2 linked regions of the Anolis sagrei genome follow. The protein of the gene in region 1 interacts with the protein of each later gene in a pairwise test. Links are inferred from orthologs where the notes say so. Each region holds a gene or a part of one and is shown in the gene's direction. Other genes may lie near its edges.

Evidence for each region. The genes of interacting proteins can lie anywhere in the genome.
Region 2: the proteins of FLAD1 (region 1) and PRTFDC1 interact in binary tests that used the Homo sapiens proteins (3 or more experiments, as listed by UniProt). The two-hybrid records come from large-scale screens. The link is inferred for Anolis sagrei from reciprocal best matches to the Homo sapiens genes FLAD1 and PRTFDC1.

Annotation. Positions count from the first base shown.
Region 1 is NC_090032.1:162,719-169,548, forward strand, and holds the start of FLAD1 (FAD synthase), read left to right. Parts: upstream 1-3,827; 5' UTR 3,828-3,909; coding exon 3,910-4,068; intron 4,069-6,427; coding exon 6,428-6,830. Other genes in the region: CWF19L1 (CWF19-like protein 1), read right to left, coding at 67-188, 938-1,155, 1,866-1,967, 2,878-2,956, 3,039-3,123, 3,219-3,247. UniProt on the Homo sapiens protein: Catalyzes the adenylation of flavin mononucleotide (FMN) to form flavin adenine dinucleotide (FAD) coenzyme.
Region 2 is NC_090026.1:109,359,344-109,367,044, reverse strand, and holds the start of PRTFDC1 (phosphoribosyltransferase domain-containing protein 1), read left to right. Parts: upstream 1-4,690; 5' UTR 4,691-4,942; coding exon 4,943-5,017; intron 5,018-7,701. UniProt on the Homo sapiens protein: Has low, barely detectable phosphoribosyltransferase activity (in vitro). Binds GMP, IMP and alpha-D-5-phosphoribosyl 1-pyrophosphate (PRPP). Is not expected to contribute to purine metabolism or GMP salvage.

The DNA of each region.
Region 1 (6,830 bases):
CGTCAAAGGGAAGCCCCCGACTGCAGCGCTACAACCCCCCCGTGCTCCGATAGACCGGCAACGCACCTGTAAGGCAGCCTCTCGTAATGCAGCTTCTGCAGGGCGGCAAAGTGGTAGCGGGGCTTGAGGCTGGCGGCCAAGAGGGAGACCAGCTCTGAGCTGCCGGGCGCCTGGCTCTGGACGGGGCCCTGCGAGGGGAAGCGCACGCGCCTCAATCACAGGCTTCCCTTTGAGAAGGTTTCAGAAGGTTCACCCAACAGGTCCCCCAAAACTCTGGGTGAGAGGAAGGTCTGCCCCTTCAGACACAAAGCTCATTAGAAGAAGAAAGAAGATGGAGGGAGGGAGGAAGGAAGGAGGGAGGGAAGGAAGGAAGAAGGAAAGAAGAAAGCAGGATGCTTTTATGTAGATGCGGCCCGCTCTCTGCCATTATGTTTGGCTTCTATGTTCTGCGTATATTGTTTTATATGTCTTGATGTTTTATACCTCAATGTTATGTTGATTATTTTACTGCAATTTGTATTTTCATATTGTGGTTTGTTGTTCGGGCTTGGCCCCACGTAAGCCGCTCCGAGGCCCCGTTGGGGAGATGGTGGCGGGGTATAAATAAAGTTTATTATGATTATATTATTTTGGAGGAAGGAAGGATTGAAAGAAAGAAGGAGGAAGGAAGGAAAGAAGATGGATGGATGATGGACAAAGGAAGGAAGGAAGACAAGAAGGAAGATGGATGAACAAAGGAAGGAAGGAAAGAAGCCAGATGTCTGGAATTCTGGGACGTAGAGATGCCTTGTCTTGGGAAAAGCATCCAAGCAAGGGAGCTTCCTGCTGACCTTTGGGCTGAAAAAGCCCAATTGGCCTGCTCCCCCCCCCCCCGAGAGATTTGGGCAACCTTTATGGTGCCAGCATATTGCTCTAGGGCATTGTTTGTAAGACTCACCGGGGCGTTGTTTGCAAAGGCCTGGACACCCCTGGGCCAGGGAGAGGTCAGCAGGATGTCCACGCCTTTGAAGCCCGGAGCAGAGAGCAAGGAGGCCCGGAGCTCAGCCACATCGTGGGCGCTGAAGCTGTGGGCCGGGGCCGGCTCTTGCGTGGACTCGGTGCCACTCAGGTAGGCGATCTGCAGCCCAGAGGCCCCACTGAAGACGCCCTTGCGGCCTGGGAGCGTGGGGCACAAAGGATGGAAGTAAAGGCATGAGAAGAATGCAATGTTAGGACACAAATGGGCACTCAGGCAGGGAACGGCAACCACACGCTGGCCCGCAAAAAGCACTGCACCAAATTTCAGACGCAAGACCCTTAAAAATCTTGCAACTGGGACCAGACCCACAGTCCTGACAATTACGGCCTAGGCAAGGTTGCTTTTTGCTACCAAAACTGAGCAGCAATAAAGTTCTCAACTCTGAGGATGCTTGCCATAGATGCAGGTGAAACGTCAGGAGAGAATGCCTCTAGAACATGGCCATATAGCCCGAAAAAACCTACAACAACCCAGTGATTCCGGCCATGAAAGCCTTCAGCAATACAAGTTCTCAACTATTTTGCTACAAAAACAAAGTGCCAATTGGTTTGCTATCAAAACAAAGTACCAAGAAAGTTCCCACTGCTTTTGCTACCAATATAAAATATCAATAAAGTTCCCACTTGCTTTTGTTACCAAAACAAAGTATCAATAACGTTACCAATTGCTTTTGCTACCAAAATAAAATATCAATAAAGTTACCAATTGGTTTGTTACCAAAACAAAGTACCAAGAAAGTTCCGAACCCCTTTTGCTACCAAAACAAAGTATCAATAAAGTTACCAATTGCTTTTGGTACCAAAACAAAGCACCTAGAAAGTTCCCACTGCTTTTGCTCTGCACTCACCCAGGTAAGTGATGTTCTCGGCCAGTTCGCCTCCACCGGGATCCGGGAAGTGTCCAGCCGTTTCCTCGTTGTTGGCGCCCAGGATGAACGTCGGGATGGGAGCTGAGGGAGGGAGCAAGGAGAGCTTGCGGGGAGGAGGCTCATCTACAGACATATTCTATATTCCATATCTATCTAAAGATACATTCTGTTTTGATGGTAGAACCAATTAGGAAAGGATGACACTGATTACCCAAGAACAAAAATTGGGCTACATAGTGCTATTGCAATTTTATATTATTATTATTATTATTATTATTATTATTATTATTGTATTTTATACCTTATTATATAATATTGCAATATTATTTTACTGTAACATTATAGATTATTGTATTATTATATATTATGATGATTATATGATTGACTTTTGCTCTTGTTGTGAACCGCGTTGAGTCGCCTACGGGCTGAGAAACTGCGGTATACAAGCAAAGTAAATAAATAAATAATAAATTATATCATTGTGGTAGTATTTTATGTTTTGCCCCATATTATTATAATTATATTATTTTTATTATTGCACAAATATTATATGTTATAGTATTATAATATATATATATATATATATATATATATATTAGGATTATATATATTTAGCATTAATATTACATATTATAATTGTATCATTATATTATTATATATCACTTATTACTGTTGTAGTACTATTATCATATTATATGCTATTATAATGGTAATATATATTATTGTTTTATATACGATTGTATAGTATTGCAGCATTAGTATTATCATTATTGTATCATTATATTACTGAATATTACCTATTATTATTCTAGTATTATCATATTATATGATATTATAATGTTTATATCTATTAGTTTTTCTAGTTACATATTTATATATTATTATTACTGTATTATTATACAATATTGCTTATTTCATATTATTATTATTATTATTGTATGCTGCTTTATTATATACTTGCTAGACTTCGTTGCCATGGCGACAAACTCACCCTTCTTGGCCCCGCCCCGGAAGTCCTCCCACTCGGGGTCGCGCGCGGAGCCGAAGAAGCTTCCGGCGCAGAGCAGGAGCTGCGGGGAAAGGCGGAGGAGAGGCGTGAGAGGGCGCATGCGCGGGCAGGCAAAGGGCGGAAGTGACGTCGCGCGCGCCTACCTCGAAGGGCCCGCTCTTCTTCTGTACGGCGCGGACGCGGGCGAAGAGCGCCCCCAGGCGGCCCTCCACGTCGCCGCACACCAGCCTGCCGGGAGACAGAGACGGAAAGAGGAGAACCGTCAGGAAGGCCCGCTCGCCCGCCCGCCCACCTTCCCTGGGCGCTTCCCTTCCCTCACTCACAGGCGGAGCGGCTTCTCGGGCGGCGCCATCTTGGGTGGGAGAGGAAGTGGAGAAAGCGCAGTGGCGTCACTTCCGGCGCGAAGTCAGTTCTACGCCTGCGCAGTGCAACTTTAGTTCACCGTTCCCTCCTTAGCTGACGCATGCGCAGAAAAAGTGGGATACAAAGTGCCCCTTTTCCTGCAGTTTGAATTCATTCAACCTATTTCACATTTGACCTTGAAGGAGCCGGGGGTGGTGACGGCCGACAGGGAGCTCTGGCGTGGGCTGGTCCATGAGGTCACGAAGAGTCGGAGACGACTGAACGAATGAACAACAATTTCACCTTATTTCCATGCGCAAAGGCCGCCGGGAGTTGTAGTCCCAGAGCGTCACTCCACCTCGTCTGACGTACAGGCCCGCTAGGGGGCGGGGACTACGGCCAATCGGGTTCAGACTTTGCCCCCGTTATTCCCGCCCCTCTCCCGGCTTGGCCAATGGGAGGGAAGGGAGGTCGGGGAAGCGGAACTAACGGGCGGAGGGAGCGGCAGGTGAGCGGGGAGAGCGGGCGGCTCTTAAAGGGGACGCCGCCGGTATTATTGATGGTAGGGTGGCTTGGCCCCTGAGCGTGTGCAGAGTGCCCTATGAGCGACCCGGCCGCGTTCCTTCCTTCCTCCCTTTTTCTCTCCGCAGGCTGAGGGCCGCGTTGCTGCGGATGCGCCTGCGCAGGAGCCTGGCCCTCGTGAGGGGGCTCTGCGGGAGGGGGCGAGCCATGGCCGCGCGGAGAGATGGCGTCACTACCGGGACAGAGGGGGAGGGCGAGGGCGGCGACGTCACTGCCGGGATCATCATCATTGGCGACGAGATCCTGAAGGTGAGCCGGAAGTGGCCTCTCTGGGCGGAGACTCGCATCTCTCTGGCCCGAGTCTGAGTCCTGAACAGGCCCAGAGCTGGTCACGTGGCCTGCAGCCCCGCCCACCACACAGAGTTCAGGAAAAGACAAGACACACACACACGATACAGTAAACAATCTGAATCATACACGTGATAAATAACTATTTATTTATTTACGACGTTTGTATGCCGCCCTTCTCACCCCGAAAGGTATATATTACATACAATATATTATATTATTAGCATAGTATATTAGATATTAGCATAGTACAATATCAGCATTAAACATTGCAGCATACCACTATATCGTAATATTATAAGGAAAAGACAAGATACACATATACAATACAGTAAACAATCTGAATAATAATAATAATAAATAAAACTTTATTAATACCCCGCTGCCACCATCTCTCTCCCCAAGGGACTCGGAGCGGCTTACATGAGGCCGAGCCCAACAACACATCAATAACAAAAAGCAATAAGCAAATAAAACAATACAATGAATATAAATCGCATATAAACAACAACAATAATACACATGACAAATAACTAGTCTCGGAGGCTTGTAGAAGGCGGCTCTTCCCAAGACCATCTAGCCCAGTCATGAGCAAATAATAATATTTTATTTTTATTATTTATTTTATTTCGGTTTCTTCTACCCGGCCCTTCTGACCCCGAAGGGGACTCAGGGCGGCTTACAAAGCCACAATTCAACGCCAACATCACATAACAACAATAAGACAAAATAACATCAATTAAACAGTTGAAACAGTTAAACAACAATTCCTGCATTACAACCCTAAAACTGATAAAACCAATAAAACAATACAAACCCAATTACTCCTCATTGACGGTCAGCATTAACTATCTCATAGTCGAAATTCCATTTCCACATTATCAGTCCTAATCGTCTGATTGTCCTTATCTAGTTGTCAGATTGCCCAAAGGCCTGGTCCCACAACCACGTCTTTACTTTCCTCCTGAAGGAGAGGAGAGATGTTGACGACCTAATTTCCCCCGGGAGAGAGTTCCACAGGCAAGGGGCCACCACTGAGAAGGCCCTGCTCCTCGTCCCCACCAACCTCACTTGTGATAGTGGTGGGGTCGAGAGCAGGGCCTCCCCAGATGATCTCAAACTCTGGGGTGGGACGTACAGGGAGATGCGTTTGGACAGATACACTGGACCTGAACCGTACAGGCTTTTGTAGGTCAAAACCAGCACCTTGAATTGTGCTCAGAACTGAACCGGCAGCCAGTGGACCTGACACAGCAGGGGGGTGGTGTGCTCCCTGTATGACGCTCCAGTGAGCAGTCTGGCTGCTGCTCGCTGGACCAATTGAAGTTTCCGAACAGTCTTCAAGGGCAACCCCACGTAGAGTTGTGCGTATAATAATAATAATAAACTTTATATATACCCCGCCACCATCTCCCCAAAGGGGACTCGGGGCGGCAAACGTGAGGCCAAGCCAAAGAGTTACAATGCCGCAAAGTAACATGCAACAAACAGGTAATAACACCAAATAAAATGCAAACAACAACAGGTATACAATAAGCAAGCACAACTGAAAAAAATTGGTCGTGTCAGAAGCGACCTGAGAAACTGCAAGTCGCTTCTGGTGTGAGAGATTTGGCTGTCTGCAAGGACGTTGCCCAGGGAACACCTGGATGATTTGATGTTTTATCACCCTTGTGGGAGGCTTCTCTCATGTCCCCTTTGCACGAGGAGCTGGAGCTGATAGAGGGAGCTCATCTGCCTCTCCCCAGACTCGAATCTACGACCTGTCGGTCTTCAGTCCTGCCGGCACAAGGATTTAACCCACTGCGCCACCCATCGGGGGCTCCACAACTAAAATGATGGAAGATTACAAACGGAGTGGGTGGGCTAACTTCGGCCCTCCAGGTGTTTGGGATAGGCTGATAGGAATTGTGGGAGTTGAAGTATTTATTTTTTTATTTGCAACATTTATATGCTGCCCTTCTCACTTCAAAGATACAAGATATATATACATACATTATATTATATTATTAGCATAGCACAAAATCAGTATTACATATTACTATATTGTACTAGACCATCAAGAGGTACCGCTTCTGCGGGAAGAGAATGGGCACTCCATGGAGTCATGCTGGCCACATGACCTTGGAGGTGTCCACGGACAATGCCCACTCTTCAGCTTAGAAATGGAGATGACCCCCAGAGTCACAACTAGACTTAAGGTCAAGGGGAAACATTTTCCTCGTTATTGTTATTATTCCCTTAGTGTTGGAAGGACAAGTCTCCTCCGACTTGTCCTTCTGGGCCCTTATCCCCCCCCCCCCCCCCTCGCTCTCCTTAGGGCTACACTCAGGACACGAACTCCTTCTTCATGTGCAAGGTGCTGCGCTCGCTGGGTGTCCGCGTGGCCAGGATCTCGGTGGTGCCGGACGACGTGGCGGCCATCGCAGGAGAGGTCTCCTCCTTCTCCACCCGGTTTTCTTTCGTCCTGACCTCGGGGGGTGTTGGCCCAACACATGATGACGTCACCTTCGAGGCGGTGGCCCAGGCCTTTGGGGAGCGGACCACCCCGCACCCGGAGATGGAGGCGCTGGTGGAGCGCTTCTTTGGCCGGTCGGAGGCCGCCGGCTCCGGGGCTGCCAAGCTGGCCCGCCTGCCCCCCTCCGCCCTCCTCCACTACGGCGTGGACAAGGCCACCGGCCAGAGGCTGCCCTTCCCGCTGGTCAGCGTCCGCAACGTCTACG
Region 2 (7,701 bases), on another chromosome or scaffold:
CAAGATTAGAAAAGACAGAACAGATACATTTAGGGCTCTAAATTCTGATTCCAGGTCTACTCATTTTACTGAACTGAGTAATTCTGTACATGATCAAAGTGTAATACTGTAGTTCTGTGCAACTCTACTTGAATCCAGTAAGGCTGACTTTTCTGTTAAATATGCATAAACTTGTGCTATATGTTGTATACCCAGGGCCAGCCCAAGATATTTCACCATCTAGACAGTTTCTCAAGTTGCTCCTGACAAGAAAATAAAATAAAATCTCAGCACATAACAAATGACATCCTCCACCCACTGAGATAGTCAATAGAACTCAGTGCCAACAGAATGATTTGGGTTCAAAAGTCAAAACAATTCATAAAGATCCTTCCTCATTCTTGGCAATAAAAATCTAATCATGATAACGTTCCTGTTATGATGCTGAAATCTGCACATGGCATAGCAACACTGGCCCCTTCTACAGAGCTTTATAAAATGCAGATTATCTGCTTTGATTATATGGCAGTTTACTCAGATAATCCCATTCAAAGCAGATAGTGTGGATTATTTGCCTTGATATTCTGGATTATATTACAGTGTGAAATGACCTCTGCATACCACTTTCGTAGACCTCCTGGATAACACAAGCTAATAGATCAGAAAGAAAAGGATTTGAGTTCTTATAATGGCAGTGACTTGAAACAGCAGTGTGTGGCTAAAGGCCCTTCTACACAGCCCTATATCCTAGAATATCAGGGCAGGAAATCCCACATTTTCTGAGTGTTGACTCAGATAACCCAGTTGAAAGCAGATGATATGGGATTTTCTGCCCTAAGATTCCTTCTTTTCATTATTGTTTAGTGACATTTAAAGTGATGGTGGACAAGTGCAACTCATTGGGTCTTTGGGTCCTTCCACACAGCCCTATATCCCAGAATATCAAGGCAGAAAATCCCACATTATCTGAGTGGACTCAGGGTCCTTCCACACAGCCCTGTATCCCAAAATATTAAGGCAGGAAATCCCAGAATATCTGCTTTGAATTGGGTTATCTGAGTCCACACTCAGATAGGATTTTCTGCCTTGATATTCTGGGATATAGGGCTGTGTGGAAGGGCCCTCAGATGACCCAGTTCAAAGCAGATATTGTGGGATTTTCTGCCTTGATGTTCTGGGATATTGGTCTGTGTGGAAGGGTCCACAGACACTACTAGGACTCTTTGTGACCATCAGGGGTCAAAATACTCTAAATTGTACCAAAATGACCTCTGGAGGACATTTCTCTTGTGTGTTCAGAGGACATCATTGAATGGTTTCATCCAACCAGGCTCTTCAATCAATTTGAACATTATGAAGGGAAGATGAAATCCCCTTGTGTACCTAGTCAAATGCCTGCCTCCCCCTCTGTTGGGATATTGGTAAGGCATATATATACTTTCCCCAGTTTTTTCTTCAGGGAAAGAAAAGCTGGATGCATGTGTCAAAAATGCCTCTAAAGGTGTAGAATTAATGCAGACTGGCACCACTTTTATTGGCAATTCAGTTTCATGATCTATGGGAATTACAGTCCAATAAATCTAGAGTGTATCATGTGAGACCAGGCTGTTGTATGCACTCATTGCTGAAAGGTATGGGAGTGTTTTTCAGGAAGCTGATTCTGTTCCAGGTACATTTGGCATTTTGATTGTATGTACTGTTCACCTAGACTTTCCAGGGCCCTTCCACACAATCCTATATCCCGGAATATCAAGGCAGGAAATCACACAATATCTGCTTTGAACTGGGTTATCTGAGTCCACACTCGGAATTTCTGCCTTGATATTCTGGGATATAGGGCTGTGTGGAAGAGCCCCCAGTCTTCTTGAACACCGAAAGAGAACAAGGCACTTCTTCCTGTTTGATGTTCATGGAAGTGTCTCTCAAATCAAACATAAAGCAGTCCTATCTCTTTCCACTTAAAACAGAAGTGTACTTTTTCATGAAGGTCATCACCAGGCTTGCCAGGCTTACTAGATCTTAAAGGGCAGTCCCTTATTGCGGGAAAATATCCCACATTCCAGGGGATGATTGCCTGGGATGTTCTGGGACCTCGGCCTCCTCCTTGGTATTTGACCTGAAGGCAAGGAGGGGACAGAGATGTCAATTGCTAAGGAGGAGTTGGGGGGGGGAGGGGCAGAAGTCCTGTCCATTGAAGTCCCTGGCCCACAAGCCCCCCCTCCCCCATGTCCCTTATTTTTCAGGAAGACACCTGACAACCCTGGTCATCGGTACTGCTGATTATATAGGAGGGGGGAAATGGTATAATGAAAACCATTTGAGCTACAGACACAAGGAAAACATTCCGTGCTTTCACTCTCCAGGAAGTTTGACAAAATACATTTTAGGGAATCTTAAGAATGTCGCTCCATCTATATTTGTATGTAAAAGAACAGCCAGCGATCAGAATTGCCAACTCATACACCCTTTTGGTATAGCAAAGGGAACAAAGGTGAATAAACACAACTGATTTTCATTAGAATTCTTCCTTTTATTAGAACCAAGGGACTACCAAGAACAAATGCCAAGTTAATTTTATGGGGCGATATGACTCTTGTTGCTGCTTGGCATATATTGACTCGCATAATAACCACATAAAACCACCTGAGATTCTTAGCCTACCTTATTATCAGTTCACCTAGAACTCATTAAAGGTACATATGGTATCTATTGCGGAGTGCAGCTTAACCAGTGTTATATTCGAGCTTGTAGTAGGAAACAGGAAATAAAATATGCTGGATGTTCTGGTATGGTTCAAAAAGGTAACAAACCCACTTTTATTGTTGCGGGTATACACCTCATATAAAGGGATGGATAGACAAAAGAAAGTTACCCAACTTTGTTACAGGACTCCCTAATGCTTTCTTGCCTTGTTTTCAAACTGTTTCCTAGATCTATGTAACTCAAGGTGTTTTTCTACCTGCCTTCTTTCTAGAAGTCATTGTTGTTGTTCATTTGTTCAGTCGCTTCTGACTCTTCGTGACCTCATGAAACAGCCCACGCCAGAGCTCCCTGTCGGCCGTCACCATCCTCAGCTCCTTCAAGGTCAAGCCAGTCACTTCAAGGACTGCGCTCTGACACCTTGAGATGCAGAACCAACCTTAAGAAATGGGGCCACCAAGTGGAGTCCACAACATGCGAGTGTGGACAAGAGCAAACCACAGACCACCTATTACAATGCAGCCTGAGTCCTGCCACATACACAATGGAGGACCTTCTTGCAGAAACACCAGAGGCACTCCCAAGTGCCAAGCTTTTTACTTTGTTTGCACTTTTAAATACATTACAACTGTATCCTCAATTTGCTTCTGACACGATGGCAAATCAGTGTTCAGAACAGCCTTTACTGAGCTGTTATTCTCGGTTCTTGAAGTTCTGCACCAGACTTCTCTGTATTTCTGCCTGTAACAAGACAGATATATAAACCCCACTTGTCCAAGTTTCCAACAGACCTTTCAACCTCTGAGGATGGCTGCGATAGATGTGGGCGAAACGTCAGGAGAAAGTACATCTGGAACATGGCCATACTGCCTGGAAAACTTACAGTAATCCACTACACACTTTGCTAACAGGTCCAAAGAGGGAGTCTCCTAAGCCAAGAAAGTGATATGGCTCCATATAACCAGGCTGCCTGTGTCTCTCTCAACAGAGGAAGTAGCTGTGGTTAAAAGACCCCTTTCTGAGTTGAGAAAGAGGTGCAGGATCTAAATCTAAATGGGATGCAACTAAGACATCTCTCAACTAAGGAAGGAGCAGATGCCAAAATGAACAAATTGGAGTCCAAAACACCTAGAGGGAAAGCTGAAGTTGGTCCATGTCTGGCATGGAGGCACCTTTCCTTGCCTTCCTTTTCTTTCCTTCCTTCCTCTTCTTTCTTCCCATGTGCCCCCCTTCCCTCCTTCCCCTTCCTTCCCTCACCTCCTTCCTTAACTTCCTACCCACCTTCCTTCCTTTCCCTTCCTTCCCCTCCTTGCTTCCCCCTCTCCGCTTCCTTCCTTTCCCTTCCCTTCCCTCCCTCCTTCCTCTTCCCTTCCCTCCTTCATTCCTTCCTTCCCTTCTCATCCTTCCTTCCTTCCCCTTCTCATACTTTCCCTTCCCTCCCTCCCTTCACTCATCTCCTTCTTTCCCATCTCCCTTTCTCTTCTCCCTTCCTTCCTTCCTCTTCCCCTTCCTTCCTTTCCCTTCCCTCCCTTCTTCCTTTTCCCTTCTTCATTCCTTCCTTCCCTTCTCATCCTTCCTTCCCTTCTCATCCTTCCTTCCTTCCCCTCCTCATCCTTTCCCTTCCCTCATCTCCTTCCTTCCCATCTTCCTTTCTTTTCTCCCTTCCTTCCTTCCGCTCCCTTTCCTTCCTCTTCCCCTTCCTTCCTTAACACTTTCCATCCAACTCTCCCCTTCTTTCCTTTCCCATCCTTCCCCTTCCCACCTTCCTTCCTTCCCCTCCCTTTGTCCTCCCCTTCCTTCCTTTCTTCCTACCTACTTTCCACCCCCCTCTCCCCTTCCTTCCTTTCCCTTCTTCTTCCTTCCTTTCCTTCCTTCTCTCACCTCTTTCCTTCCCTTTCCCTTCCATCCCCCTCTCCCCTTCCTTCCTTTCCCATCCTTCCCCTTCCCACCTTCCTTCCTTCCCTTCCCCTTCCCCTGCCTCCCTCCCTTCCCTCCTTCTCCTTCCCTCCAACTCGAGGCAGGCGCCGCCTCCTTTGCTTCTCCTTCGCTTTCTCCTTCCTTCCTTCCTTCCTTCCTCCTCCTCCTTTTCCACTCTGGGTCTGGAGGCTGGCGCCTAAGCCCGCCTCCTCGCAGCAAAGAGGCGCAGAAGGCCAGGCTGAGCGCTTTCCCTCGCTTTCCCTCCTAATCTTTTCACTTCTCCCTCTTCTTTCTTTCCTTCCTTTCTCCCCTTCTTCCTTTCTCCTCGAGGCTCCCTTCGCCGAAGATGGCCGGGCAAAGCATCGGCGAGGCCCCCAACCCAGCAGAGGCGCCGCGACGCAGCCGTGGCCGAGGGGTCGTGGTAAATTCAAAACCTCCTCCCTCCCTTTGCTTCCAAACACACAGTCAGTGAGTGCTGCCCTTGGGCCAGGCAGAACTCTCTCTCTCTTTCCTGCTGGTGCAGCCGAGGCATCCTCTGCCCGCCACGTTGTGTGTCTTCAGAGCTCACCCAAAGCTTCAGAAAGTAACTTGCAACGTGGGTTATATAATCCTCGTCCACACTAGCGAGGGAGAGATTCTGGAAGTTGCTGCTCCCAGGATTCCATAGCATTGAGCCATGGCAGCTAAAGTGGTGTCAAACTGCATTAATTCAACAGTGTAGATGCACCCATAGGAGGCTATTGTTATTTCCCTTTTACTCCTCACCCCACTCCCACTCTGTGCGTCATGCTGCTAAATGAATGCAGTTCAACAACACTTTAGCTCAGTGGTTCTCAACCTGTGGGTCTCCAGATGTTTGGGCCTTCAACTCCCAGAAATCCTAACAGCTGGGATTTCTGGGAGTTGTAAGCCAAAACACCTGGGGACCACAGATTGAGAACCACTGCTTTAGCTGTTACAAAACTATGAGTTGTTGGGTTGCTGTGAGCTTTCCAGGCTGTATGTCCATGTTCCAGAAGCATTCTCTCCTGACGTTTCTCCCACATCTATGGCAGGCATCCCCAGAGGTTGTGAGGCCATTTCTACAACAGTGGTTCCCAACCTTTGGGCCTACATGTGTTTTGGACTTCAGCTCCCACAGTTCCTAACAGTTGGCTACAGTATAGATGCACCCACATGAGGCTGTTATTTTGTCATTGTCCTCCCCCCCCCCCCAACTCACACTGTTGACTAAACAATATAAATACTTTGATTACATCTATACAGTCTGTCCCCCAAAATACATGTGCCCTTTAACACAGGCATGGTCAAACTTGGGCCCTCCATGTGTTTTGGACTTCAACTCCCACAATTCCTAATAGCTGGCACCAAGCACGTAGCCGGGGGAGGGGGGGGCTTGAGGGGCTTCAGCCCCCCCCCCCCCCAAATTCTCATGTTGGTCCACGAGGAGGCCTTACTGGTACATTATTTAAACTGTTATGTTTATTCATATCATGATCTGATCACCATGCTCAATATATCCCATATGCATGGGGGTATTGGGGTAACGATACAAAAGGTTTGCTAGGGTAGACCCTCTTTCACTCAGCCCCCCCCCCCCCCAATCAAACTCAGCTCCCCCCAAAACAAAATCCTGGCTACAGGCCTGGCCGGCACAGAAGCATTGTGCAAACTCTCTGCAAGAGAACAGAGAAGGGTGTACTGTGTAGGTCAGGCCTGGGCAAACAAGCCCTCCAATGTTTTGGACTTCAGCTCCCACCATTCCTAACAGCTGGCACAGATGCATTGGAAGCTTGTGCAAAATATCTGCAAGGGAAGAGAGAAGGGTGTTCTGTGTAGGTTAGACATGGGCAAACTTGGGCCCTCCAAGTGTTTTGGACTCCTACAATTCCTAACATCCTCAGGCCCCATACGTTTCCCACTCAGCCTCTTAAAGGGCCCAAGGCTCTTAGGAATGGTGGGAGATGAGATCCAAAACACCTGGAGGGACCAAGTTACCCCCTGCCTGCTTTAACAGCTAATGGTAGCTATGGTGACTATTTGAAATTGTTGTTGTTGTTGTTGTTGTTATTTGAAACACAACAAGACAAGTCAATGGCAGACAAGATCACTCTGCTGGCTGTTGCATTGGATCACACGTCGGACACTTCCCAAGTGTCTAGGACTGTGTGATGTATCGGCTAATAATGTGTGCAGATCCCAGTAAGGTGGCCTTCTGCAGCTGGCAGATGGTAATTGTGTCAGTGCTGATTGTGTTTAAGTGCAGGCCAAGGTGATTAGGCACTGCACCCAGTGTGCTGATCACCACTGGGACCACCTTGACTGGCTTGTGCCAGAGTCTTTGCAGTTCTAACTTTAAATCCTCATACTGTGCCAGCTTTTCCAGTTGTTTCTCTTCAATCCTGCTGTCACTGGGATTGCAACATCGACAATCCATACTTTGTTTTTTAACACGATTGTGAGGTCAGGAGTATTGTGCTCCAAAACTCTGTCTGAATTCGGAAGTCCCAGAGGAGTTTGACGTGTTCATTTTCTGTAACTTTTTCTGGCTTGTGATCCCACCAGTTCTTTGTGGCCGGCAGATGGTATTTGTGGCACAAGTTCCAATGAATAATCTGAGCAACAGTGTTATGCCTCTGCTTGTAGTCTGTCTGCGCGATCTTCTTGCAGCAGCTGATGATGTGATCTATTGTTTCACCTGCTTCCTTGCAGAGTCTACATTTGGGATCTGTTGTCGACTTTTCAATTCTGGCTTTGATGGCATTTGTTCTAATGGCATGTTCTTGGACTGCCAGAATCAGTTGTTGTTGTTGTTGTTGTTGTTGTTGTTGTTATCATCTTTATTTATATCCCACATTTCTCTCCATGGGGATTCAAGGCGGCTAACACATATACATTCATATTAAAGAATAAATGTTATAATAATTCCATCAGTTATGGGTTTCACCTTAAATTACAGTTTCATGTAAGGCAGAGGTTCTCAACCTGTGGGCCCCCAGGTGTTTTGGCCTAAAACTCCCAGGACTCTTCCACACAGCCCTTTATCCAGAATATCAAGGCAGGAAATCCCAAATTATCTGAGTGTGGACTCAGATAACCCAGTTC